Lytechinus pictus: one gene and its partners. The protein of the gene in region 1 binds, or shares a complex with, the protein of each later gene. Links are inferred from orthologs where the notes say so. Each region holds a gene or a part of one and is shown in the gene's direction. Other genes may lie near its edges.

Region 1 (7,194 bases):
TCTGCATATAAATTATATGCTATACTTTTTTTTTATTCCTCTTTGATTTTATTGACGCTTCGGGATTCAAATATGAAAATGCAGCGAGACCCGCTAATGAGGAAAATTTTTTGTTGTTGAATGAATACACCACAGGGCCGTGGAATGGTTTTGAAAGCGGGAAGGGGGATATGCTTTCGATGCAAAAAAAAATCACAATCGATCAGATGGTCATTTTAAGGTTTTGTACATGGTTTTGGGAAGGGGGGGGGGGGCTGAAGCTCACCCAGCCCCCCCCCCCCCCCACCGGTTCCGCGGCACTTGCACCAACTGAATATTATTTGTGGATTATTTTGTGATCCTTATTAGATTGCTTTACCATATCAGGATATGCAGTGGCGGTGCTTAGGTGTTTTTCATCTTCCACACCCCCACACACACGCACAATTTTTTCAGTTAACGTGTACACAAATGCAAAAAATACCATTATTAAACGGTTTACATTTGTGAACTTCTCCCTCTAAACTTTATGCGTACAGCCTCCCCCTTCTAAACTGTTCCTCATTATATTTTTATACGAGAGAGCAACCTGAGCGACGGTAGCATTCCTTTATCACAAAAAAACAGTGATCAGTAAAAACGTACATATCAAGGGTTTCTGCCCAAAATGGCTTGATTTTGGCACTATTTCGAGTAGAAAACATTCATTGTTCTCCCTTCAAATGAAGAAAGGGATAAAAAAAATATATGATTTTATTCAGTTGCCATCAAGCATATAGGGCCTATATATTAGAGCCCCAAAAACTGAAACTTTCATTTATGCTGTAGTATTTTTGTTTTATTGTACATAGCAAGGGAAACTTGCCAATTTGGAATATTCATGACGATGTGCATATAAATGTTTTTCACAACATATTGATAAATTTTTAAATTCAATAACTTTGTTATTTTGTTATCCGATTTTGATCAAATTTTGTGCATTTTACTTTTTGAATTTTACTTTTTTTATTCAGATATAAATATTTTCAGCCCGGACCATCCCTTTAATTTTTCTTTATTCAGTTCAGTAGCGTAAGGAACAAAGAAATATATTTGAAAAATAGAGGGGCAAAAAGAGTGGATGGGGCCAATATTTGAAAAAAAGATCTCGCAAGTTAGCAAAACGAACGATCTTTCTAGGAAAAACTATGATGTTGTATTAATTTTGACGATATATTAAAAAAATATTATCATAATTCGGTCATTTCCATTTCCTGTTCTTTTTTTATACTAATTTTCTTGGTGATAGAACTTAATGGGGCGCCACGGGCCCTAACCCCCCCCCCCCCCCCCCCCCCCCCCCCATCTGTACGTTCCAGTAATTTATTTCCAATCTCCAAGAGTTTCATTCTTACTTGCCAAAAATTGATCGACCCTGAACTAATTTTCAAAGTTAAACTCCTGCGGGCATGTTATATATATTTCATTTCATTTATTTCCATATCCAACAACAAAAAATCAAGTAACATAGTAGGCCTATTAATCGACCAGTTCGTAGTTACCTCATGGACAATTTTCGGTCAAATGACCTTTCATTTCTTTCATGATGATAGGCAGATTTCAAAGCAAAATATTACGTAAGCTTGCCTTACATAGCAGGATGAAGAAATTGAATAGACCAGGTGACTAGAATAGCACACCAATGAACACTTTATGAAGGTATTTGTACGGTTGCATTCCTACTTTGAATGCATATCATAGCATGTTGCACAATGTACTTGGCAAACTATGAAAACCCCCGGTGAAAACCAGTCGTTCGTGGACGCGTTGTTGTTTTTTGTGGATGTAAATGAAAACCACAATTCAAAAGAATATATGAATAATCAAGACATCAAAGTTGGTGCTTATCTCATTAGATTTTAAACCACCATGTCACTTTAGTACAAATAACCTTCCTCTGATCATGCGTAGAATCTTTTGATCATGCGCAGAAAGGATTAACTACGAACTGGCTTAAGTAAAACAGTGTAAAACATTGAAATTAATATTATGTATATAGGCCTACATAGGCAGGAGTTGGTAACTGGGCTCGTAGATCATTTAGATGCACCGGGAGATTGCAGTCCCTTTAAAATTGTATTTGTCTTCGTGCATAATAGTAGAATGATTATCATGATTATCATGACCAGGGGCCCGTTGCAGAAAGAGTTGCGTTTAAACGCAAGTCAAAAAATCAATCGCAAGTCCCAAATGCGCGCTGTTGATTGGTTGAAAATCAAGTTACGCATGATTTTTAGAGTTGCGATCGATTGCAACTCTTTCTGCAACGGGCCCCAGTATACTCTTGTAATAAAGTAAGTTATTCTGCTTTACCACTGGCAAAGGTGTGTAGGCCTATAGGCCTGAGTACACATGGGGGTTATAGTTCCATGACCCCCTCCCCCATACAAAAATAAGATAGAGAAAGGGAAAGAAAATGAGACCCAATACATGAAGTTTCGGATTTATATATTTTTTTCATATTATTTCGTCAAAATCTGTCACAAAATTATATCTTTTAATAAAAAAAAGAAGCCATACTTTATAGCTCACATTCAAAACAAATAGTTTGCCACGCAGGGTATACGATACTGCCTCTGAAAATTGTTGGTTTATTAAACATAAAGTGGGACTTGTTTATTTGGTGCCCGATCGACCCTATACTTTATTTCAAAACAGGCCTAAATGAGCCCCCACGGCAATTACACATTATGGTATGATTCAGAGGCGTCGATCCTGGGGGGCAGGGGGGCGATCGCCCCACCAATAAAAATATTTGGGGGGCAAACATATCGTTTTGCCCCCCAATAATTCCGCATGTGCAAAACATAAAATAAGATTGTAATGTTACACAGATATCAGCAAGCAAGATTGAGATACACAACTATTTCTTTATTTAAAAATCATGCTCAAATTGTCCGCTTTTCCGATTGGAATATAAAAAAATTTCAGCTCGCGCTTTGCGCTCGCATCATTTCTGTAGCAAAAACCCATACTTTTCATTATTAAATAGATGAATAGAACGTCCCGTTTTTAGTTCTAAACCTCAAAATAACTCCCGCTTCGATTTGCAATAATCTTTTTTTGGATATATGTCTTGTTCTTTATTTAAAACGTCCATTAAAGTAAAAAAAATTCAGATCAAAATATCAAAATTTTCAGCTCGCGCTTCGCGCTCGCATCTATTGTTTTTTAAGATACCCATCATAATCATTGGTACCAAGCAAGAAATTTCTACTCGCGCTTCGCGCTCGCATTAATTTGTTGGTGAGAAATGTGTCTCTATCTCAGTCATGAGTCATTATATATATACACACACACACACACACATATATATATACATAATATTTGTGTGTGAGTGTGTATACACACTCACACACACACACATACATATATATATATATATATATATATATAGGCATGTGTGTGTGTGAGTTTTTTTGTTTTGTGTGATCGAGCGCCTTTGGAAAGTTGATTCATGATTTTGCCCCCCCCCCCAATCTGAAAAAGGGATCGACGCCCCTGGTATGATTAACTGCCGTCGAAGACCCCATGCATACCTTACTGATTTTCATGATGCCCCGCATTGCGCACAACAACAAAAAACGAGAAAAAAAAAAGAATTGAGCTCATTCAAAGAATGGAGGCGCCGAATTTTCAAATACACCAGTAATATACAGTTGGCCGAATCAGGGGTGGATCCAGGATTTTCCAAAGGGGGGGGGGCACATTTTCCAGAGGAAAAAAATTGACAAGCAAAAAAAAAAGGTATTTAACCAAAAATTAAGGACAAAGTTACATTTTGCCCACGAAAAAGTTTGAAAAGCATAAAAAAAAAAAAAAAAAAAATTCACTTTAAAAACTTATGTTTTAACGGCATTTCTACATTAAAAAAATTAATTTTGCCTCTCAAGCCCCCCCCCCCCCTACGGGCCGCTAGTGGGAGTAATTGTAATTTTTCAAAAAGAAGAAAATAAAATCGTAAAGATACACATGCACAAATTAAGAATTGATATTTTTTTATTTTTTATTATCATTATAAGTTTGCAGCCAAGGAATCAATAGGTCAATATTCTTCCGGCTGGTGGTGTGTTTTATTATTTTATTATTATCATTATTATTATTATTTGTTGTTGAGGGGCGTAAATGAACCCCCCGGCCCCGCCCCCAACGCTGATATTATTATTCATAACCACAGACAAGATGGCGGGGTTGCCAGCAGACGCCAAAATAGTTTTGATTCTCTTCTGCGCTGCGGTACAGATTTTTCCTTCAACTGCTCAGACAACACCCACAGGTATTCAACAAAGCACAAACAACCCAGTATCAACAGCAACCACCCAAAATGCCCAAACAACACAGACTCAGCAACAAACAACGACTAATCCGCCGACTTTGCCTTCAACAGAGGTGCCCGCGAATACAGGTAAAGAGTACGTAGATGATATGCGTGGTCCCATATATTGACATTTGTGTGTTTCAGTTAACCAAAGTGCGCATGAAGCCATGTAGACAATTCTTTAGTGTTAAAAAAGGGGGAAGTTCACCCTGACGAAAGTAAAAATAAGCAGAATTTTAAGTCTAATAATAATTTAAAAAATATTGGTGAAGTCAAGTGAAGGTTTGAGAAAAAAAGATTAAGAAAGTTTACAATAATACAAGTCCAAGACAAGTACAAGTTGACAACTTCATTTTTTTTATTTTTGATGTAAAAAAAACAAGCAGCTGCCCCATAACTTATCACATAAAATGCAGAAAATTTCATTTTTTTAATGGTTCATGATGACTTATGATGGGGTGACCGTATTTAGTGCACATATTGGTTTTCTTGACAATTCCAAGACACCTAGATTAGATTATATACCCTTAAAAAACGTCCAATACCTCAAAAGAACAAGAATATCTTATCTCACATTTCATGGCTTGGAATTCAAACTTCAGATTAAAATCAATGTAATTTCAAGAAATTTGTAACGCCTACCGACTTCATAGTCTGCTCTGCTCACATGTGTGACCTAAGTTTGTTGCCCTTTTGTGGTCGACAACAAGTGTCAAAACGCTCGATAACCACCTCGTATTGTCCAGCACATACCAGCCATTTGAGTAAAGTTCGAAATAGGCAATACTATTATTTTTTATTGATATTTTTCCAGGTTGAGAATAGGCTTGTGCAATATCATGGATAATAATCCTCTGTATACACATCAATGACCGTCTTATCAATAGATTGCTCGTTGCTGAAAATTTTAGGATTGGGAGGAGGTAGGCGCCGGGCAAGGGCCAAATGATTGATTTTAAAATTCAAAGACATTTTTCTCAAAATCATGCCAAAAATTTACTTCTCATTTCCATCATATTCAATTTCACCATGCAAATCATTTTGTTATTATTTTTTTTTACTTGCTTTTAAGATTATATATTTAGGCCTTCATTATAAGTAAAAGCTATTTTTTCACAAAAGGCGTGCCCCCACAATCATCACCACTGTCACTACATTTATCATCCCATTTTCATCATCATTACCACAATTTCCATTGTATAATATGACTACAGGATCTATTCATTATATCATTATCAACATTTCTCACAAAAAATTCACATCATTGTCAACTTCTTTCGGGGCAAAATCATTAGACCCCCCGCCACCCATTCTTATTGTTTTGTTTATTGGGGAATGAAATTTATTAAGGGAGAATGAACATGTTCTCTTATCAGCACACTTAATTCATGGCCACATGAACACAGCAAAGGAGAATGAAGAAAAGACACTAAGTTATCATTTGTATATTCAACTGAATTTCTTGTTTTCATTTTCTTTTTTCATTTTCCATTTACAAATCTCCTTTTTTTTTTCAGAAATAAAAATTGTTTACATATTCATATATTCACATATTTTACATATTAACATATATATATATATATTTACATATTTATATATTCATATATTTACATATTTGCATATTCACATAATTACTTATTCATATATTTATATTCATACATATCAACATATATTTCATTGTTCCGTCTCACAAGGGAACCTGAAAAAAAAAAAAATGTGTTGCCAATTTGAACTTGTCCGGCCCAACCAGTGTTTGCAGGAGTCACATTCTGCCCAGTTAATGACAGTGCCCATGTCAGAGGCTGATGGTGGATCGTCCAAATGGCACTGGCAACAACGTTCGTCATCATCTGATCTATCCTCAGAAATGCGAGTCTGGGTCGTCTGCTCGATGGTGGAAGAACGGTAGATCTGCAGGAAGATTCTGTTTCCATGATGGCTACCCCTCTGACTATTCTTTGAAGGTGGAGAAGGCTTCTTGGTCACTAACGATGCCTCCATAGAGCTTGTTGATGGGGGATGAACCGGATGAGGGGTGTTGGCATTGGTGATTGCACTTGGTCTCATCGTCCTCTCGATCTCTACTGCTTCGGGGTCAAATGGGCAGATTCCAGACTTCCTAAATGCTGCCTTGAGGTTGTCCTCTCTCATCGCCTGTAGGTATGCGTGACTGATTAGGCTTGTCATGTCAAATCTAGAGATTGACCTTCCAGGATGCTTGGAGAGGAAATCTGTGCACTGACTGTTGAATTGTGCCTTCATCGGATCGAAGCAGCCGACGTCGAGAGGCTGGAGAATGTGACTTGTGTGAGGGGGAAGAAGGAAGAGTATCACGTTGTGCTTCTGGGCTTCTATGAGGGGAACAGTTATGTGGCTTTTGTGTCCATCATACAGTAGGAGAACTTGTTGCTCAGCTTCCCGGTCTGGCAAGGATCGGATTAAATGCTTGCTCAGGAACCGACTGAAGACATCACCATTACTCCACCCACTGTCCGTCATCTTGAACCTGCTGCCTGGTAATGATTCCCAAGTCAGCTCTGCCATCAAGTTCTTCCCTTTAAATACAATATAGGGTGGCAATGACGATCTGTCAGCTGATCCTCAGGCAAGGAGTGTTATGGTTGCTGAGCGACAGGAAACGATTGAAGGCGACCTCAATGGTGAATGCTCCTGGTTGAATCCTGTTTCATCAACTTTGTATATGAACCTAGGTTTGTCCTTTAGGTCATACTTTATCAGGATCTTGTCCAGTTCTTGGTAGTATCAGGCAATCCTCTCCGGTGTTGTGGATATTGCCGTAGTGATAGCCAACAACCTTGGGCGGATGACTTGGAGAGCTGGCCATCTCCTCATGAACC
Region 2 (7,319 bases), on another chromosome or scaffold:
AATCCCATCAAGACGATTGTGAAAAATCATCATTGGTTAATTTTCACTAAAAACCTCCAAACATCTCAATTTAAACATTACCTATAATCTAATCAAATATAATCCCATCTAATCCAATCCAATTATAATATTCTCAACAGACACAGCAGCTCAATGACCATCCCCTCCTGGCTGTGACGATTTCATAGTTGAAATTAGGCAAAAATTGTTAAAATAATTATATTTTATGAAAGAATAAATCCATGAAAGCGATAGAACTTTCATTATAAGTTTTGATTATATTATTACACATTTTTAAAGATTCCAATGTGAGAATGTCATTCCAATTAATATGATTACATTATAAAAGATTTGCCAAATCTCTTTGAAGATATGCTCCCTTTTCAAACAATACCTTCAACCTGCTCTTTGGTGAGTGCAGGTTCGGGTTCAGCTGATTTCTTCTTGCGTCGCTGATGAGGAGAGTATGACATGTCATCCATTCGACTACCGCGCCGGTTATATGCACCATCTCCAGGGTGGCTGCTCCCTCGCCTGCCGGAAGCTGGACCCCTTCCGTAGTCAACAGTACTCTGGCGTCGACCTCCCGAGCCAGTCTCCGGTAGCACGCTACCTCTTCGGAGGTACCCGTCGCCCATGGTGCTGCCTCGCCTTCCACCAGTTGCTACGCTTCCACGACGACTTTGCTGAGGAAAAAGAATATCATGATATAAATCTATTTTCCTATTAATTCATGATATCTATCTGGTTAAAATTAAGATCCAGGATTGACCAGAGAGGCGGGGGGGGGGGGGGGGGGCAGGTCCATAACTTTTTCTTCATTTTCACAAAATAATAATAATAAAAAACATCACTAGGCAATAATTGCCTCCTCTTGGCGCCAGGGTCAGGGAAAGAGCCCCCTCCTCCAAACTTCGAAGGCCTACACACTAGCTTGTATTATCTATTAAAAAAAAAACACCAAATATTCCATTAGTCCTTGAGCGGGGGGGGGGGGGGCATCTGGATCAGCCTCTGTCTCCAGATAGTATATTATGTAATACTCTCAGGGAAGTAAAAACACAATTTTTTTGATATAAGGAAAAACCCATCTATTATTCATTCATCTATTTATTATTCTATCATCATCGTCATCATGATCATCATCTTCTTCTTCTTCACAATCACATTGCCATCAATATTCATTTGGAGAAGCTGTAGACCAAAAGTAATATTAACAGGGTGATATCTGGTGCCTGGCTGGCTTAAAAAAAATGGACACCATGAAATTATTTTTGTTCATTTTACATACCCCACTTGACGGTATGGTACTCTTGCTTCTTCTTTCCTGATCTTCAGATTTAGTTCGAAATCTATCGGAGCTACTCGCTTTTGGTATAGCCCCAATACTCTCCCTGCTGTTCTTGGTACTGTAATTGTTATTCTTCAACGACTCCATGTCACTGCGGTGGACATATATCGCCCCTCTTCTACTTACATCCGACATGATTTTTGTTTATTTTACCTAATTATGAACAAAACAAATATTTACAAAAATTTGGTCTACTGTTACTGAATAGTGCTTTTTTTGCTATTTCCAGAAAGCCGAAACCAGCCGTACGTTTTAGTTGCTCGTCATTTTACATCGAGTCGACTTTTCTGTTCGCTGTCTACGTACCGGTACTCGTGTGCATGTGTCATGTGGATTTGTTTATGTCTGACGTCACCGTGGGAAAGTTTACTCGAGACATCCCGTGACCCGACCTATATTACGTTTTGGTGATGTCATAATGGATAAACCAAAGGATCAACAATAATGACAACCGCGCAAGACGATGGGTTCAGGCTGGGTTCTGGGCGTATTCTGAAAACCGTGTTATCTGCGTGTTATCTCATTTCGTGTTATCTTCGGCTCCTCCCACTCTACATCTATTTAATCCAATCAAATGCGCTGTTAAAGAAACAAATCGCGCAAAATTTTCAGGGAAAAGGGAACGTGCGCACGGTGATACGAAGCCTGCATTGTGACATCATTCTGTAAGCGCATACAGCTACTAGTAAATAAAAGTTAGAGCTAGAAAGAGACGTGGGGAGGGGTACGTGATTGTGACAATTAAGAACTGAATTGAATTTATTTTCATACTTCACAAGATAACAAAATAATAACATAATACAAGAAATTGATTATTTCAGACAGCATGGATACGAAATTATAACAGGAGACAGAGGCCTCGATCGATTGTGGAGCGGGCAGGGGACGATCGCCCTAAGATATGGGGGCAAGCATAATTTATACATGCCCCCAATAATTTTGAGAACTTGAAAAAATAAAAATGCAAATTTTGAAAAGCATGAAAAGCACTTTAAGAAAAATTAAATCTGACATAGAAATATCAAACACAAAATTGTATTTTTTTCTATATTATAATTTGATGCGTAGAGCGATCAGCCATGCAAAAAAAAAACACTTTTGACCGCCCCCTCCCCCCATCCGAAGCATATAGATTGACTGGCGTGATAGATAGATTGAGAATAACCTAGAAGCATTGAGAGTTAAAAAAAATTATTGGAGCTATATAATCATTGAAAAAGGGTTTTTAAAAATGTGAATATTATAGAAGTTTCCCCAATTGCTAATTCCATTCTTTTTAATTTTTGTTTGTGCTTTTCTTTTAGACGTTTGTAATTTTCTTCCTCTTTTTGTCTTTTTTATATCATGGCAAAAAGTAACCAAATAAATAACTCATGATCATATATGATAATGATTTTAATTAGTCCAAATCAAAGATGCATTTAAATTGTATTTTCATAGGAAATTCCAAAGAAATTGTTGTTTAATCATTGTTAGTAGAGACTAAAGGTAAATGGAAAAAAGAAAGAAAATTACAGTAAATCCTGCCAAACGATAGTTATTTGCCCGTTTATGTTCTTCTTGACGTTTGCGTCTGCTAGAAAAAGTGCAGCCATCGTCATCCCCAACTTAACCTCTCCTTAACGCAGTGTTAAATTTTCGTGTTATCTTTGAACAAAATTTTAGCTAACACCATTTTCAGAATACCAAATTTCGTGTTATCTTCCTCCCTAACACCGCGTATGGGGGTTGCGCGTTGCGCACTGCGTATTTCATGACCTGCGCGGTGTTACCACTTGGGCCACGTGTTTTTCATGCTAACACGATTTTCAGAATACCAATCGTGTTAGCTAACACCACACCGTTTTTGTGCTAACACGGTTTTCAGAATACCGCCCCAGTTCACCCCCGCCCGCACCCCACCCCACCCTTCACCTGCGCTGCGCGCTCATAAAACTCACGTGTCGGATGGACACGTGATATAATACAGGCCCCGCCCTTTTCATGATCGTATTACACATTTTGCACGAGACATGGCAGCATGCAGCATGAACAGTCGCATATTGGATGTGTGGGCCTAAAATAAAACAAATTACTAGTATATGACAATTTTTAGTTTATATTTTTTTTTCTTCACAAAACTCTTGGTCAATGCATACGATCCTGTTGGGATCATGTATGCTATGAGAATAACGGAATCGATCGTTCTGTTTTTGTTGTTGTTGTATTTTGTTATAAGCATTGATCAAAATGTTAAAATTTTACAGATTTGATGATTAAAAAAACCCACTCCGAATTATGACTAAACAAGGTCCGTGAGTATTAAAACAAACCATTATTTACATTTTAGAAGGATAATGTAAAAATTCTTTTTCAGGTATTCATGCAAATAATACAAATAATAATAAATATAAAATGAAAATATAGTGAATGTGTGACGAAAGGTTGTGCATTCCCACTTGCATATCGCCATTGATGTGCATTTCATTCTGTTTTCTGCTAATAAGCGAAAACCATGTCGTACTTTCAATTTTACATAAAATTTCAATTAATTTTTGTTTGCATTATTTTTATTTTTCCTTCATTAATTCTTATTGACATTGTTTTATTTCTACCAATGATGGTAACCTGTTGTGTAGGGCAACCGATATTAGATAACTAGGTGAGAGTGAGACTCCCATAGGCGAATTATATAATTTTAGGGTAAAATCTAGTGAGATACTGAGATTGATAGAAATGCATGCAAAATTTAGAGTGAGACTGAAAAGGGACCAAAATGAGTGAGAGTCACTCTCTGAGTGAGAGTTTGCAGCCCTGTGTTTTCATATCATTTATATCATTGAATGTTATTCATTGTAAATGCATGAAATGATTATTTGGGTGTATTTTGTGTTGGAAGTTAAATTGAAACTGAATTTGAATAATAGATAAATTATACCGGTAGGCCTATTCGTAGGTTTGGGTGGCAGTGCAGTAGAAAAAAAAATCCGCACTATTCTCGTGTCGTCCACAAGAGGGCAGCACTGAAAAATTCCTTTCGAAATGGCTGCCGCTGTCTTGGTAAGTTTCCAATAAATTAAAAATGCTTGTATCGAAAATTACTGAATAACTTAGCAAGAATTTGACAAATAACCAATTCGGTATACTTTCAGCTGTAAGCGGGTAAATATTTATTTGCATTTGGTGTTATATTTGTAGATAAAAAGGGCTTCTACAACTTGAGTGACTGAGTGAGTGTGACGGTTGAATTGACGGTTTGTTGAAATTGGGCACCGTCCTTGGAGCTGGTCGCGTCGGGAGTGGCTGGCGCGACCTGGCCGCTGTGGAGACGGCTACTCCGGCTAACTCCAGTGACAGTCCACGCTCCGCGACTCCAGCTCCGAGACCACGATCGGCATTGACCACGTGGTTCATTGATGTAGGCCTACAGTGCAACCGTTACCTGCCACCTCGTCTCATTTTACTTTTGATACATTATTTGGAGTAGATCTACCACCTACATGATGTATTGACCTAATGTAAATGCCTTTTTTGTTTGGACTTTGCCTTGGCTGCCTTTAAAAGGCTTTATTCCTGGAAATTGAGGGTCTAGCTTAAAAAAGTATAGACCGTCGATACGATACTCGATAGTGTCTTTTTTACTAGTGAGTCTATACTTAGTAAAATTTACTCATGTAGGCCTAGGTCTGAACTAGTTGTAACACTAGTACTATCCTACTACTACTACTAGTAACAGGTAACTAACAGTAACATACCTAGTCTATTCTAGATTTTTAGAGTAACGTTAGATCTAAGTCTATTGAAAATGTTTGAGAAATCAAATATTTTGTCTGTTTTTACTTTAATTTTATATTTTTAATTTAGAGTGAAGTTCAGATTTCATGTTTATTTTTAGAGCAGCGGCCAATTCACATCATGAACATTGCCAGGGAGATGTGCCAGCGGGGGCTTAAATTGATGTTAATACCACCTTCTTTCTACGTATAATAAATTTAAAGGCACGGCCATAGCGCTCTCTCGAGAATGTGCACAAAATTTGTATAGGCTCGTTGGTTCGCTTGTCAATGCGTTGATGCCAATATCGTGGCATACGGCTAATGTTAACCCTTTGCGTGCGACGGGCTTCCACAGAAGCCCAGCGAGTCATTCACTTAGCTACGACGGGCTTCTACAGAAGCCGAGAAATGTTTGGTTTAATTCAATTAAGTTTTTCAGCTTTTTCGTAATTGTTATGTACTAAAACCTCTGCCACTATTTCCTTCATAAACCTATTTCGATAACAGATTGAAAAAAATATACAGCTACGTGGGGAAAAATCCCGAAAATAGGAAATCATTTCAACTTTACCCGATTTTTTCGTTGGAGTCGGACGGGGAGGATAAATTTTGTGACGAGCACGTACGCGCGCGCATAAGGCCTGATCACGTGATTTGTTCTGATCACATGATTTGATCCATATCGTTGTTCTGGTAGAGCATCTTGGTTTTCCACGTATTGGCAATAATAATAATAAGACATCAGAAATGCGAAACAAATTCACGAGTAATGCAGTTTTTACAGTGCCAACATTAAGTTCTTTTATTCTGATAGATATACGCTAACATCTTTTCTGCAAGATCGTCACGTAATAAGCTACGCGTTTCTTCACCATTTTCGTCTTATTTGTTTCATCAAGAAGATATCACTCTAGATAGAATGATATCTCCTTGGTTTCATCGATCGATTGCATTTTCAGAAAAGCAAAAAGCTTGTAATGTCTTAGTACTTTGAGCTGATCTCGGTGCACTTTTGAACTTTTTCCCTCCCAATCATCCCTCTTCTTCTCATTATTTTTGTCTACTATTCTGAAAAAAGGAGAAAAGAAGGCAGCTTAGCACACCATTCATCTTCTGCTCTTTTCAAAAGGGGAACGTCCATGTAGTTCATGATATCGGCACTACCCGAACAAAAGAATGTCTGGGCGGCCACTCAAACAAATTCCTTTCGAAAAGAGCAGGATACAAATGGTCAACGCCCCGAACAAAAGGAAGATTAGTGTTTATCGGCAGGATGACCCATTGAACGCTTTTCGTACTTAGCAATACAAAAAGCTTTTATGAATCATTTTTTTCGACCAACATACCGTATCTAAAAAAAAAATGTCTCATTACCGACAACACAGGTGCTTATGACATCCGTCAGTAATTCTTATTGCAAAAAGGCGCTTCCCCTGGGTGATGATGCATATAAGGATGAACGAATAATTATTTAGGGAAATTATCGAAAAAATATGTTCAAATGTCAGGGAGGACGAGAGAGAATGAGAGACAGAGATAAAAGGGGGAACAGACAAGTGCGCTTTTGCTAAAATTCTATGAATATCTACTTAAACGAATTACAACATGACTTTATTTTTTGGTTAGATTACTTTTAAAAAATCCCACAATGTTTGTTTCTTGCAACTCGGTCATCAGACCCTTCCCAAACTTATGACTTTTTATTATTGTTCTTGTTTGACCCCCCTCCCCTGATGGAAATGTTCTGACCTACACTCTAATATTGCTTGTTTGTCTCCTGTCTCCGATTTTCTGTTTTTAATTGCGAGTAACGCGGTAGAAAAGATAAGAATAAAGACCGTCCTGGACCCCTTTCCCCCCCCGTTACGACCAAAAAAAAAAAATCGCATTTGGGGCGCTTACCATGGTTAGCATCTAAACCATTTTGGTTTAGATGGTTTGGAAAAAGAAGGGACAGCAATGTTTTTTATGGTGCAGGTGTTGAGCTGTGGGACGGGGATGAAGCGGCTAAAAAATACAATTTGTTAATTCATGTCATTTTACAGAATGAATTTATAATAGGTTAGGTTTTAGAAGCTCTTCATCTTATTTCCTTTTCTCACCCAGATTAAAACTTTTGCATTAAAAAGTTGACGGAAACATAATTACTTCAAATGATAAAACCAATAATGAACTAAAAGTTTCCTCGCGCGAAATGGAGGAAATAGAATGAT
Region 3 (7,878 bases), on another chromosome or scaffold:
TTTATCACCCCATTTATCACATTGGTGTTATTGATACAAAGCCTCAGTTCCATGCACAATCGCTTTTTATAGCATCAGCTCATGTTCAGGGACTATATTCTGACTTTGTGTGGGGGCAAAGTAGGCATGTGCCTATTTCAGGGGCACAAACTTAAGCAAAGAAAGATAAGGAAGACAGGTACAGACAGAAATTCCTGCATTCAAAACAAAGGCAAAAAAGGATTATTTATTACAATAAGATAAATCATAGATTAAGCAAAAAAAGGACAGAAAAGAAAAGGAAAGATAAAAAAGAATCAAGAAAAAAGAGAAAAATAATAGAAGAGAAAAAAAAAGAAAAGGAAAAAAGAAGAAAAGAAAAGTAAAAAGAAAAAGGAGACAAAATACAGAAAAAAAGAAACAAAGAAAAGAAAAAAAAGACAAGATAAAAAGCAAAATAGCAGTAAAGAAAAAATAGAGGGGACAAAATGAAAAGAAAACAAAATAGTGAAAAAAAGAGAAAAAGAAAAGAATAGGAAAAGACGAAAGAAAAAAGAAAGTAATATAGAATAGAAAAACAATAATGAAGGAGAAAGAAGCTATTCATCCTTGCAAAGAAAAAAAAACTCAAAAAAGCAGTGGCAAAAGTCAAAACCGGGTAACAAAAAATAGTCATTGTTTTTACTTGATAGCCCAAAGTACCGGTACCGTACTAGAAGAAGAATCCGCCCACAGAGATACGATCTTACGTATAAGCTCCCGAAGGGAGCTAGAGAGGGAACTCTTTCCGCGCGTTTTTATTTCCCATAGGTTTTGTACATAGCCAACATGGCTGCCGGCGGACAATTTGAAGGATGATTTTGGAGGGTCAATGTTTTATTCATGAGAATGACGTCAAAATACGCATAATGCACTTGTATGATTGGATTAAACGCTAATGTTTTATTCATGTACTCATGCATTAAACATTTTTTTCCGTCCCACAATTCCCTACGATATCTGTGCGAAGTGTCGTTCTTTTGGACTCTGCAAATTTGAAGTTTCTGAAACGAAATAGCTAGACTAATTATCTGTTTATAGAATTGATGTTCGAAATCATGGTTTCTGAGTGAACTTCATTGGAGCGGAAAATCTTGGAGGGAACATCAATACTATTCTAATGACATTCCATAGGAATAAAAGTAAGTTACGCTCATTTTCATGTTTTGATCTCACTTGCAAATTGTAATGTGTTTGCCGGGGTTCGGGGCTCATCCTGTATTACGCACTATGTAAACCTCAATTTCAATATTTCTTTTGCCTGAGCTGACTTCCAAATAAGTGTGATCATTGAGTTTATCAAAAATACTACCGGTATATCTAGGACTAGGGGTCTATAGTTTGTCGTAGATCTAGACATTCATCGGAATGCTTCATGTAGGTCCAAAGTAAACCTTTATTTCAGTTTTATTGTGATTAGACAATTATCAGGGGTAGATGTGGACTTGTTTCCGACCTCCTGTTTTTTAGTAACGACAAACTGTCGATTTTAGGCCTATTCAAATTTAGGTCAATGTAGGGATATGGTCAGAGCGCGCGGGATCCGGCCTTTGATATCGCCGGTGCTAGCCGGCTAGCGAGATTGTCGATGTAGTCATGGGGTATGAAAATAGCGGGGACGGACTAGGCCCAAACTTCAAGCTTGAAAGTTGAAGTTTATATAGGCCTAGTCCGTCCCCTCTATTTCATCTTCATATGAAAAAGTATAATTCTCAGCAGTTTCTTTTATTCAGGAACGCTTTACTTCAGAATAATCAGTGTTGAAATACGATTGTCTTAGCATTAATGTCTGTTATGTTAAGTGTCACTTGTCTTAGTCTTAGATTTGAATGAAATGGCATAGCCTACCCTAGACCTAAATCAAGTCTATTTGAACAGGATACCCTGGGCCCGGCCTTGGGTGGTAATTTGAAAACGTTCTTAGTGTTTACTTCATTCAAATGTGATGTGATTCTTAAGTTATACAGGCCCAGCATAGACCAGATTCAGCTATATACAGCTGTAGAAATATGTGGTTGGAATCATTTTACTTTTATAAACAGAGTGAGGTAGGCCTATGTCTCTATGTGATAGAGAATGAAGTTTCGGGTCCAGATAAATTTTTTGTTCTAGTTTGGAATATTCATTCATAGACCTGGGATATGGGCAGCTGGAAATTTCAAAAATATTGTTTAAGAAGAGTAATTTTATTATCTCTAAAACTCTCAAATTTAAATTGTCAATTGCAGATCCAATGGGACCAAGTTCTTAGCAGTTCACACCTAGTCAGAAGTACAAAATTGGGAACCATGCCGATCAGCAAGTGTTAGTTACAATCTAATGAGGAACAGGATATCTGAATGGAAAAATTGCAAGGTATGCTTACTGTTTTGATAATATACAGGCTGTATCCAAGCTCATCACCCCCCCCCCCCAAAAAAAAAGATAAATAAATAAATAAATAAAAGAATATTTCCCCTTTTTTGGGAGGGGGTGGGCTATGGCCAATTGTGCTGAAACATGATGCGATATCATGTAATGTTAAAGTTCCATTGTAAGTTAATATTTGTTTGAATTCAGATTCACCAGTATTTCCATTTCTAACACTGCATACTAATTATCCATATCTCCTGTCTATACATGCATTTGCATAAAAAACCCAAGATATTATTACAGTTATCACAAAATTCTGATAAATATTTGAATTAATTTGCACTCTTTATTTTCAAAACATACTGTAGATAGTTATATTGATATATGAATTTATCTGGATGTGGGACGAAAGTGACTGCATGTGCTAAACTTGTTTTATCACTGAAGATATAAAATAGAGTTTACATCTTTTTTTTACTAAACTGGACTAGATGAGTAAAAATAATTTACAGCTTATTATGTTCTTTTCTCTTTTTTACCATGCAGGTTTCCCACTTCCTAAGCTGTTTAAGTACTGGTATCACAACATAAGTGCCAAGAAGAGATATGAAACGGTCTCAAAATTTTTGCTGGTGCCCCCCCGATGCCGTGACCCACGGTACGCCACTGCAAGTCTTCATAAATTATGTAGGGTTATTAAGTTGCATTTATCGTTATGTGAAATGGGCTACCACTGCAATAATATATAAATAGACTATATTTCAAAAATAGATTGAATTCTAACCACAGTGACAGTAGACAAATCAAATTTTGTTAATGATTCGCTAATGTATTGATTGGGGAAGGCACTCTTTAGGATTCTGGCATTGTGTCCCACCCCCCCCCCCCCTTATGAGGAGTGCTCTCACATCAGTAGACTATTTCTTGTCAGCAAATTTGAAAGGAATTTACCAATTTTTTTGAGTGACAAACTTTTGTGGAAGAAAATAAACGAATATCAAAGGTTTTTATGCTCTTTTATGGAATATTAACTATAGGCTCATCGAGATCCTTTGAATGAAATTTTAACAAACATTGTACAATGTAGAAAAATGTACTTAATCCTATTTTTGTACATTTATATACCCACCCCATACTACCCTTACCCAGTAACAGCCCTTTTTAGCTATGCATTGCCTTCATTTTTTAAAATACAATTTAATGCTTGGTAGATGCTAATTATTTTTTTTATGTTAATGTCAATGTTTTAGAAAATGCATTCCTTAATAAACATGTTAATTTTGAATTGAATTTTTTTATCTTGGTAATTTTCATTTATCAATTAATTGTGATGATGTATTGCTGCTGAGCTGTTATGCACAAATGGCACAAGATGTTGCACTGTACTGAAATGTGATGATGCCACTGTTACATGAGATCAAACAGCAGTCAATTAAAATATTATTCAAGAAAAATAAGGATAAGAGTGGGAAAGAAAGTAAAATGACAGGAGAATTATTTGCTTGTATGCATATAGTTATGTCAGTTTCTGAGAGAGAGACAAGACAGAAAGAGAGAGAGATGGGGGGGGGGGTGAAAGTTCAGTTTGTTTTGAAAGAAGCAATTATAAGACCTTACTGTTCATGACGGGCAACGGGGGGGGGGGGGGGCTATAATTATTTCTCCAAATTTTTGAAACATACATATAAAATGTATTTTTTCTTTCCATATGAAAATTACACCAGATACATTTTCAGTTGAAAATAAAAAAGAAATACCCTATAGCCTACGATTGGTTTGCTCTCTTGCCTATTTAATTTTGAGAACCCCCTCCCCCCTAAAATATGGTATATACCTAGGTCATGATTATTGATGTTTGACATAGAAGTCGCCATTTAAAATTAAGTGCTCCGAGGACTGCTATTCATAATAGGACTTATATTGGAGACTAAAATTATGGAAAAGAACTTGATTTGTTATTATCTTTGTTTATATTATGAAAAAAAGGTTCATTTCGTTTTCTGCAATAAAAAGAAAAAAGGGCTCCAGAAACATAAAGAGATGTCATCGCATATGGCAACATTTTCTTTGGGAACCTCCTCTGTAATATTTTTTAGCAAAGACCCTGGCCATTTGCAGCTAAAACAAAGCAACGATGCAGTAATAATCTAACAGGCAATAACAAAAAGATCATTAAAATAGATGAATAATAAAACTCTGAGGAGGAAAAAAACGAATGATCTGACATGATGTAATCACAGACACCAACGATATTAAATCAGGTCGCGCATTATGCTAATTAGTGACAAAATACTAATTTACATATTTTACGCTATGCGCGAAGGACGTTCCATGACCACGCCTTCATTTCGCTGGTGTACCAAGACAGTGGCGGTGTCCATAGGCTTGTATACGAAAAATGGGAGCAGTGTGCACTTTTGACCCTCCAAAATTTCCCCCAATTCTGACCGGATGCAGAAGCGGAGTTTCACCCCCCTGAATCCGCCTTTGCATGCTGCCATCTACGTTGCAAAATGCGTTGTGATGGACGCTTTACAAAAATGGATGAAAGAAGGCGCCAGTCTCGCTAGCTCAGTAGCTGTCTCAAGCTCGGCTGAGAAAACAAGAATACCTTTTTCGATTTGCTTGTAACTGGTAACAATCGGTAATTTCTCTTGACATGGTTTCAATTTCTCATGCCCTATTGTTTTGTTTGTGAAGACGCTAACGTTGTGCTTAGCGGCTGAAAATCTTAGTTAGGCTGCTCCACTTCGAAGCGAAAAGTGGCTGTGTGCGCTGGCGGCATTGACTGCACGCTACCCCGGAGCTTCCCGAGGTCAGCCGGCCAGCTTGCGTGTCTCTGCTCAGTCGGACGTCGGGAAGGCCAAACTCGTACTCCGTCTCCGAGTCCGACAAAGGCAAAGCTTGGCCGGCTAGGCTAGGGCTTAAAACGACAGGGAACGAGGACTGGCATTTGAAAGGATGCCCTTACTGTTTGAGCTCTAATAAGAAAGCAGGGCCGGGGCGGATCAGGTTTTCCCCAAAAAGGGGGAGGGCACATTTTTGAAAATTTGACAAGCAAAAAAAAAAAAAATTTCAGTTCACCTCAAATTTTAACAGTTAGGCCTCACGTACGTGCACGTTACACGCAGTCAATGGAAAGTATATGTGTCGCGCCATCTTGGTTAATTTCACCACTACGTTGCGAGAGGGCGCTCGTCAAATTTTACAAAAAAAATCGTAAGAGACAGGCTCGTAATTATAAGGTGACTTTAGGCCACAATAATTAATTTAGGGATGGTTCGGAAAATAAGTCGTGTCGATTTTCGAATTTAGGAATGTATAACGAATCAATACATATAAAATTCATCAATACTCATGATGTTTAATGTTTAACAAAGCCTTCTTCCCCGGCGTCGCACGTCCTCCCGAGTTACGGTGGTGCTCTTGCACATTTTGGGTATAGTTCAAATCATCAATAATATCTCGATTCTGCAACTTATTGTATCCTAATTTCATGATTTTTTGTATTATTTAGGTCATTTGCAACACTTTATTCATTCATCATTGACAATTACAAGTGTTAATTTCAAACTTTCCCGCTATTGAGTCTTGAATCTACCCTTGTCCACAGGCCCCTATAGTGTGTACTGTGTCATTATGTGTGTGTCTATGGAGCACCACATCCCAAATCTTACAAAATCGTGCTGATTCTGTGGCATTAAAATACCTCGTAAGACAAAGAGAGTTCCAGTTTTGAATTTTCCTGAAAATTTTACCAGAAAATTAAAGCTAAAAGAGCAATATTGTGATGAAAAGGATGTACACCCCCCCCTCCCCTTGCCCCACATGTGTAGCTGTGCCAATATACTCAATCACAAAGAAATGATATGATTGGTTTTATAGTTTTGCAGCAGGAAATAATAATAATGATAATAATAACAATTAAAATAAAATAATAATAGGAGTGGGCTATACATGGGTCAAAAATACTTTTTTTGTAATTTCAATATGACAACAGTTTTTTTTCATTCCTTGTAATGTATCTCAACATGAAATGACAATAATTTTTGTCTCGGGTCCGAGAAAAAAGTGTGCCGGGCCAAAATCCAAAATGGCCGCCAAAACCCCCCAAAATCACAGTTTTGGCCACAACTTTTTTACTTGGTGGTCAATTTCTCTCGTTTTGGTGTCTATTTATGTGTTTTTGGGGGCAGGCAATTTGTTTTTCATATAATTAGTACTTTTAAACCATTATTTGTAGAGTTAAAAGGTAATTATACCTAAATTTTCCCATTTTTGTAGCCTTTTTTCAGCCAAAAAGTAGGTTTTATCATCCTGGGGTTCTGGGATATTAGATGGTACGAGGTCAACAATAGCAAGCAGCTTCATATAGCTATATTGCTTTTATTCCTCCACTTTGGGTTTTATGGATATTTGTGAAATATATCTTATTAAATAAAAAAATGTCAATTATCCATTGGGGCTATACAGTATGTACAATGTACTGTACATACATACTGCACTGCATAAATGCATTGGCCACTATGACAGATAACAAGGCTTGTATAAACTATAGTGTCATAGAAATGAGCTCTCAGGTTTAGAATTAGATGCCTCAGAAATTGAAGATTTGTTTTGTCTCAGAAATTGAGGACATGTTTTGTCAAATATGCTAATTCAGGGGGCGGAGAGAGGTAATTTACACTGTAGCTATTCTGGGCCCCGTTGCATAAAATTTTACCATTATGTTAACTTAACTTAATGGTAACTTGCATGCAATCCTTTATTCTGATTGGCTGTTGATCAGCGTTACCGTGATACTAGTAGTTACCTGACCCCATAAACATAGTCCAGTTAGACACCAGAACCAGGTTAAAATAAAAGCCTCAAAATGAAGAAGATATGGATAAAAATGTGATGTACGTATATATACATTGTATGTGATATTTACATGTAAGTGTAATTTACGTTGCTAGCTGACAAGGAATCAAATTCACAATCTAATTCTAAACCTTTGAAGCTCATTTCTATGACACTATAGTTTATATACAGGCCTTGTCATATGCCATGGTGGTCAATGCATGGATATATACATTGTAGTATGTACAGTGCCGATTGTACACCGTATAGCCCCTATGGATAAATGAATTTTCTTTTATTTGATAAGATGTATTTCACAAATATCAGTAAAACCCAAAGTGGAGGAATAAAAGCAATATAGCTACATGAAGCTGCTTGCTATTGTTGACCTCGTACCATCCAATATCCCAGAACCCCAGGATGATAAAACCTACTTTTTGGCTGAAAAAAGGCTACAAAAATGGGAAAATTTAGGTAAAATTACCTTTTAACTCTACAAATAATGGTTTAAAAGTACTAATTATAGGAAAAACAAATTGCCTGCCCCCAAAAACATATGAATAGACACCAAAACCAGAGAAAATTACCACCAAATAAAAAAGTTGTGGCCAAAACTGTGATTTTGGGGGGCTTTGGCAGCCATTTTGGATTTTGGCCCGGCACACT
Region 4 (7,550 bases), on another chromosome or scaffold:
GTTGTTAAGGGTGCTGATGTGAATTTGAAAAGCAAAAAAAAAAAAATCACTACTAAATGGAAGTCAAATTGGTCCCGAGACCCCCGCTTCGCGGCACCCCCGCTTCCCAGGGCCATGGCCCATTGAGAGCCATAATCAACATTTTTAAAGTAAATGTTCTTACACAAGTGTGCCCCCCCCCCCTTTGAAAGGTATATCTTTAATGGAAATACGCCGTTCATACGGACCGAAGTGAAGACATTTATTTTTATATATTTTTTTATTATTATGTTGCTCTTCAATTTTTTCTCGGGAAAATGTGCCCCCCTTTTGGATAATCCTGGATCCGCCCCTGCTTTATACCTTAAACTGAGATATACAGAGGAACATCTGATTAAAGTTACTACACATGTAGAAGTCATGAAATACTGCTCTAATTTCATGTTAAATCTATAACATAATTATTACGACTTGGTATAATTCCATTCATATAATTTTGCAATTCGTTACTTTATACGCAGGGTGCAGATGGAGTCAATAAGGTATTATCGATCTTACGGTTTGAATTGGACTCTGCTCTGGGCATTTCAGGTCAGTTTTACATTTCGCATTGTTAAGTCATTTAGTATGATGCAGGTTCATGGGGGTATTGTTTTTATATATTTATTCATTAATTTGTGTCATTAAAGAATATATACAATTATATTTTTGTATATAAAAATATACAAAAATGTTTCAGGAAAAAAGGTAAAAGGAAAACAGATTTGGTTGGAAGGCCCACCACTCTATTATCTTCCATGAGGTCCAAATGGAAATCGATCCAAGTGAATCGGTATGTGTGTGTGTGTGTGTGTAGTGTGTGTATGTGTGGAGGTGATGAGAATTTTTGCACACACTGAGAACAGTGGGCGCAGCCCCCTTACCCCCCCCCCAAAAAAAAAAAAAAAAAAAAAAGTGCAGTATTGATACGATTTCAGAGTAGGTCTAGTATGCATGCCATTCCGAAATCACAGAGTTGCAGCTCGGCTGGTCAGCCTACACTCCGGGCCTACACTGTAAAAGCTGTACGATGTATAAGAGGTACAAGATTTTCAAATACGAAGTTTGAGCTAAAAACAGTTTTTTAAATGACAACCGGTAATTACAGTATCATAGTGGGTGTCAAACTAACACCATATTAACCATTGATGTAAAATGCTTAGTGAGGTCCTCAAGTTGTGTGGGTTTAAAACCAAAGCTTGTGCGGTACTAATCAGATGTCTGTGTTTCACATATTGTATTTATTTTATATTTCACAGGTTGCACCAATGTCCAAGACATTCCGTCATCATTGATAGCTCGAAAATCTTACCTCTGAACACTGGCGTACCTAGGATTTTCCAGAAGGGGAGGGGCAAATTTTCTGGAGGATATTTTGTCTGCGAAAAAATTTGACAAGCAAAAAAAAAAGGTCTTCAACCAAAAATAAAGGATTTCTTACCAGAAAAAAAATTTGACAAGCAAAAAAAAAAAAAAAGTCTTCAACCACAACCTGTATCAGTTGTGACTCGTCAGGGGGGCAGGGATACGTCCCCTGCATGAGTTGTGACTCGTCAGGGGGCAGTCTCCCCCTGCCCCCCCCCCCCTTAGGTACGCTAGTGCCTCTGAATGTCTGCCGAACTCGGCCTTCCACGGCTTAAGATCCCGACCACCATCAAGAATATCCTGGAAGAATGAATGATACAAAGCCCTTTAATTACCCATCCGCAGAATCGGAATCATTTAGTCAAGATTATTTGCAATATATATCCTTACTCCTCACACAATATAGGCACATTCTCAGGCAAATACACCCACATTCCAACATCATCGTCTCGCCAACACTCACCCACACAAAAACGCACACACTCATATACACACCGCACACACACACACACACACAAATTATTTAAATTTGTATTTTATTCATTTAATCACGGTTAAAAAGCCTGCTTCCAGCTAAAAGCTGCTTTTTCAACAAGGCCGTGAACAACTGAATGCAAATAAAACAAAAATGAAATTGACTTTACAAAATTGATCAAAGAAAAAAAATAATGCAAAAATAATATTAACAATAGAAAAATTGAAGTAAACAAAATTGAAAAGTTAAAGAAACGAAATAGTATACAAATTAATGTCAAATTCAAAATGAATAAAAGCGAAAATGACGGTAACTTAATACAGTTTGTCGGTCTATGTTTCTGAGAAGATATTCTCTTTATTTAAGTGTGATTCGGCTAAGTAAGTGGGCCTAGATTATTGACTGTGGTAAAAATTGACTGATTGATTGATCAACCTTTAAAATGTGATATACAGCCGTGACGATTATACAGGCTGAAAGGAAACGCTCAAACACACACCTCCACCTATCGTTTGAAGTCGAGTAAAAAGTCAATAAAAAGTAGAGTGCACTCTGACACTACAGTGTCCGCCATCGCGCCGCTTCATTTGGCAAAGGAATAAGAATATACCCTTAGATTTGGATTATTTTTTAATGATACTGATATATATATATATATATATATATATATATATATATATATATATATATATATATATATATATATGTATATATATAAAGGTAAATATATAAATGTAAAGGTAGACGGAAAAGCAATGAATTTTTTGAATGACTGTTTTCTGTTAATAATATTATACCCCTTCATGTGATGTAACAAGTTTGATCATACTGTACATATATATATGTTTGCATATATATATATATATATATATATATATATATATATATATATATATATGTTTGTATATATATATATATATATAGTTATAGTTATAGTTTTATATATATATATAGTTATACATATATATAGTTATATACACATATATATATACATTTATATATATATATATATAAATGTTTATATGATAATGCATCATTTATATAACTGCATTGTATTGTATATGTGTTTAATAGAAATTGGTTTGTAAGAGTGAATCAAAATTATTTGGCCTGCAATCCTGTACACTTTTAATCAATATGTAGGCCTATGCTCTATTTATCAATTTTTTAATGTTGGCTAATCTGAGTACTGAAGTGCTTTTATAGTTCTAATCTGCAAATTGTTTCTAATGACTTTTTACGGTCCTAAATACCGGAATTCTCTCAGCAATGACATTATAAATGCCGCTAGTTTGAATTGTTTTAAATGAAGCTAAAAAAAGAAAAAGCGATCGGTAGCCAGCTTTGTCTTCCTTCCTCCCCTCTTTTTTTTCTCTCTCTTTCTCTCTCCCTTTTTCTCCCTTTCCCCTCTTCCTCTTTTACCGACAACCTAAGCACCACCCTATCCTTTCGGTTTCTTTTCTTTCTTTCATTCTCCTTCCATCAACTCCATATTCCATTTACCAATCATCACATCAACTTTATTTATTCCCACCCCTCCTTCTCGTATGATACTCGTACTGATCTTTTATCCAATTCTTTAAGGGATCCACATTTAACAAGCCCTGCTTTTCAGTTGATACCTCCAATTCCTCAACTTTTATTCTATTAAAAAGTTATATTAAAATAGCCTTGCAGATGTTAAATCGAGATTGTTCTACATTTCGTTTTACCATCATGGTATATATCATATTATGATTATTGTTTATGGCTTACCGAAAACATTTATCTATTTCCCTTGTATTGATATATTGCTTATACATAGTATTCCCTTGTATTGATTTGTATGGATATTATTTCATATTTGTGTAATTTGTTGAGTCGAAATGAAATAAAGGAAACTTGAAGAAAAAGGTATTTGAATACTTCAAAATTATAAGTACTCTTTCCTTCTTGAAATAAATAGGTGAAAACAACATTACTTGCCAAATAGAGCAGAATTTCAGTCTTTTAAAAAACGAATTGCCTCTATTAATGTACATAACGTAATACGGTCCTATATTTTTTTTAAACATATTTTTAATCTGTTGCTGCGCTACAATAATCAATTTTTGCGATTTCTGATATATCTTTTTTTGTGATGAATTCTGTAAACATGCATAAAAACGGTCAGTTTTGAAAATCCAACAAGCGTCTCAATGTGAATCATTTATACACAGTAGGCCTAAGTGGCGTCGGTATACGAGTGGGGTGTGTGACACATTTTTTTTCTAAAATGCTGCCAACAAAGAAAAAAGAAAAAGAGTTGATGAAATGGAGAAAGGTGGCAGAATCGAAGTAACAGATGAAAATATAGAGGAAAAGAAAAAAAATGAAAATAAAAGGCGAAAGACGAAAAAATAGAAGAGATAAAATGAATTATTTTCGTTGCAGCTTTTCTCTCAGTATCTTATAGGATATAGGCCTACTTTCAAAAGTTTAAATTATTGACTTTTCTGTGGTCCTCATTCCTGCCTTAATATTCTCTAAACTGGTCTATTTTTCCTGTATTTTTTCGATATTAATTTAAATAGAAGTTGCCAGCGCTAGCATTTAGCTAAAGATAACGATTAAATTAACTGATTGTATATATAGGCCAAATAAAAATAAGTAAAAATGGAGAAACCGAAACAATTTGCGATTCGGTATTTATTCAATTAAGAGACACCTTACGCTTTAAAAACGAAACAAAATACCAACAACAACGAAAAGGTGTCCGGTCGGGTTAGCGTCGCGAATTCGAAGAAAAATTAAAATTCCCATAATAAACATGGCTGGTGATTATATGAGGCAGAAATTGACGTCGTTTACAGAAGCTGTATTTCCAACTCGAAATGCTGTAAAGCGCCAGCATCATATGCTAAAACCTGGTGAGCACAAGAAATAATTTTTAGAGCGAATTCGTTTATGTAGCCCCATACATTCGATTTGCTGTAGGTCTAGTGATAGATCTGCGGACGGTTTATTAATTTATCAATATCATGAACAATGATCAGTTCGTCTGTATGTAACGAACCTCGCATCACATTTTACTTTTAGTGTATATCAATAATCTAGGCTATATATCTGTCTTGTCTATGCTAACATAAGGTTTGGTCCCCCCAGTCTGTGCATACGTGTATCTGCGCAATTTTTTTAGGGGGATCCAGGGGGCCCGGGCCCCCCCCCCTATTGGCGGAGCAAAAAAAGGGGGAAAGAAAGAAAAAAAAGGGAAGAGAGGAGAATAAAGAAGGGGAAACATAAGAGGAGGAAGACGAGTAAATAAAATAAGATGAGGTGAAGACTTGAAAAATAATTTTTAAAAATATTTCATGTTTTCCTATTATAGGCCTAAATTTTTTGCTGGCGCTTCGTGCTCGTGCTCGCATTGTTTTTTAGGTGATTGACATATCTTGCTTAATATGGAGCTTAAAATATCAAATTTTGAAGTCAATATACAAATCACATTTCAGCTTGGAAAATGAACTTTCATTGTTTTTATTTGATTTACAAATTGATTTTTATAAAGTGCTCTGTAAAAATGTATGTTTTATGGTCTGAATATTAAAATTTTCTGCTCGCGTTGCGTGCTTGCAAATTCGTCAGGTGTACCTATTATTTTCCTGTATTCCATAAAGTTCTCAAACTATCCCTATTCAGGTCAGATAGCCATAACGTATCAGCTAGCGCTGCACGCTCACATTTTGATTGGTGAGTTATGTATTTCTCAATATTAATTCTATAACATATAATTCCCATTTCATGACAGTTTATCAAAAATTTTGGCTCGTGATTTGCGCTCGCATTGATTGTTGAAATATATTAACTCATGCATCTTATTCATAATTACAAAAGTGCATTAAATGTCCAGTTTTCAGGCCATAATATCAACAGATTTCTCACTCTCATTAGGCTTATTAGATTAATGAATAAGATATTGATTGAGTAATCAAATTGTCCCTTTTTTTCAGAATGGAATATCGACAAGTTTCATCTTGTGCTTAGGAAAAGAAATAGGAAGATAGTGATCATTTTCATATGACATAATGTCCTTAGAATGTCCTATATCAAAACTCAAAGTGATAATAATGAAACTTATCAGCTCTTTTTTAACTGTGATCCATATCCACCTCACAATTTTCCTATAAAGTGCTTGAAATACAGAGCTTAAATTGACTCTTTTTCAGATTGGAATATCGCCTTATTGATTTTCATGACAAAAAAGGGTATTTAGAATGCCCAGATTTTAGGCCAAAATCTTCTTCTCTATTTGAATCATTATCCAGTTTCAGATCACAATATCAAAAATTTTCTGCTCGCGCTTTACGCTCGCATTATAGGAAGATTTCCAATTACTCATCCTTTTCATAATTTAAAAAACTTGAATAGAGTGTCCCATTTTTAGGTGTAAATCTCGAATTTTTCCGCTCGTGCTTCAAGCTCGCATCAATTATTTAATTATATACTTATCCTTTTCACGATTACAAAAAGTGTGCTTAGAATTTCCATTCTTCAGGTAGAAATGTCAAAATTTCCAGCTCACGCTTATTTTCAGCTCACATTATTTAATTGTTGAAATATGTAACATCTTCATGGGTAACTGCAAGCAGCTGTTATTAAAAACATGATATTTTATCAGATCAAAAAGGATATTAAAAAATTCTGCTCGCGCTTTGTGCTCGCAGTAATTTAGTTAGATACACATCTCATTTAGGATCACAAACATTGCCCAGAATGTATAAATTTTAGTACAAAATACATAATTTTGAGCAGCCGATCGGGGAAAATGTGGCTGAAAAAAAATCTGCCCCCCCCCATTGGCAAAGGCTGGATCCGCCCCTGATCCAGGAGACACTGTCACTGTCATGAACTAACACTCTAGTCTCTACTCTAACGTTCGACAGAAGTCCGACTCAAGTCAAATTTCAGTTTCAAATCTACTAAAATTTCGCCCAGTCATGTTGTAGGTTCATGGTGCATGCACATGCTACGAGATCATCCTCATAATCATACATCAAATGCGCTAGGCCCTGTACCATTACCGAGCTAGCATCTGTGTAATTTGAATGCGGAATGTCTATCACAGAATTGTGATAACTGATAACCTCTTGTGCTTAGTAGAGTTTCTGTAGATCTACAAGACTACATCAAAAGTTGTTTTGCTGAACTAGGTTCTACATATGTTCATTTGCTCTTGGATGGTAGAAAAAATGTCTGAAATATTAAAATAATTTTTAAGAGTAAGAAAAGTGATTATTCCTGTATTAAGACTGAAAGAATAGCATACGGCGATAACTGTAATTCTGTGTGCTTCTGGAGAGTAAAAATAATTTGCTAATCTTTGTGACATGCAGTGGCGAATCTACAGGGTATGGGGGGTTAAATGCCCCCCCCCCCATAGGCAGGCTGCAAATAAAAAAAAAGGAATGACCTACTTTTTAAGCCAACTACTTTTTTGTGCTTTTCAAATTTTTTGGGATCAAAATGACTTTCATTTTGTAGTAAGTTGTAGTGAAACCCTTTTTGGGGGGCTTGTATTCTTGTCAAGTTTCTCAGTAAAACCATCCTTGGAAAAAGATAGATCTGCCCCTGTACATGTTTATGGACACATAAATAAATGAAATGAAATTGTGGGCATGCTTAGAGATAGATTTAAAAAGTAATTTATAATTTTTGCCCTAAATATCGATAATTT

Evidence for each region.
Region 2: tectonic-1-like (region 1) and transmembrane protein 237-like share a complex: the UniProt entries of both Homo sapiens proteins name them as parts of the tectonic-like complex. The link is inferred for Lytechinus pictus from reciprocal best matches to the Homo sapiens genes TCTN1 and TMEM237.
Region 3: tectonic-1-like (region 1) and centrosomal protein of 290 kDa-like share a complex: the UniProt entries of both Homo sapiens proteins name them as parts of the tectonic-like complex. The link is inferred for Lytechinus pictus from reciprocal best matches to the Homo sapiens genes TCTN1 and CEP290.
Region 4: tectonic-1-like (region 1) and transmembrane protein 17-like share a complex: the UniProt entries of both Homo sapiens proteins name them as parts of the tectonic-like complex. The link is inferred for Lytechinus pictus from reciprocal best matches to the Homo sapiens genes TCTN1 and TMEM17.

Annotation. Positions count from the first base shown.
Region 1 is NC_087250.1:19,610,207-19,617,400, reverse strand, and holds the start of tectonic-1-like, read left to right. Parts: upstream 1-4,172; 5' UTR 4,173-4,200; coding exon 4,201-4,423; intron 4,424-4,540; exon of another isoform or gene 4,541-4,545; intron 4,546-6,102; exon of another isoform or gene 6,103-6,891; intron 6,892-6,969; exon of another isoform or gene 6,970-7,194. UniProt on the Homo sapiens protein: Component of the tectonic-like complex, a complex localized at the transition zone of primary cilia and acting as a barrier that prevents diffusion of transmembrane proteins between the cilia and plasma membranes.
Region 2 is NC_087245.1:17,041,660-17,048,978, reverse strand, and holds the start of transmembrane protein 237-like, read left to right. Parts: upstream 1-4,319; 5' UTR 4,320-4,372; coding exon 4,373-4,390; intron 4,391-7,319. Other genes in the region: uncharacterized protein LOC129264684, read right to left, coding at 395-686, 1,292-1,486. UniProt on the Homo sapiens protein: Component of the transition zone in primary cilia. Required for ciliogenesis.
Region 3 is NC_087263.1:11,081,171-11,089,048, reverse strand, and holds the start of centrosomal protein of 290 kDa-like, read left to right. Parts: upstream 1-4,866; 5' UTR 4,867-5,014; intron 5,015-7,878. UniProt on the Homo sapiens protein: Involved in early and late steps in cilia formation. Its association with CCP110 is required for inhibition of primary cilia formation by CCP110.
Region 4 is NC_087246.1:15,644,041-15,651,590, forward strand, and holds the start of transmembrane protein 17-like, read left to right. Parts: upstream 1-4,549; 5' UTR 4,550-4,646; coding exon 4,647-4,746; intron 4,747-7,550. Other genes in the region: 2-Hydroxyacid oxidase 1-like, read left to right, coding at 501-570, 1,278-1,336. UniProt on the Homo sapiens protein: Transmembrane component of the tectonic-like complex, a complex localized at the transition zone of primary cilia and acting as a barrier that prevents diffusion of transmembrane proteins between the cilia and plasma membranes.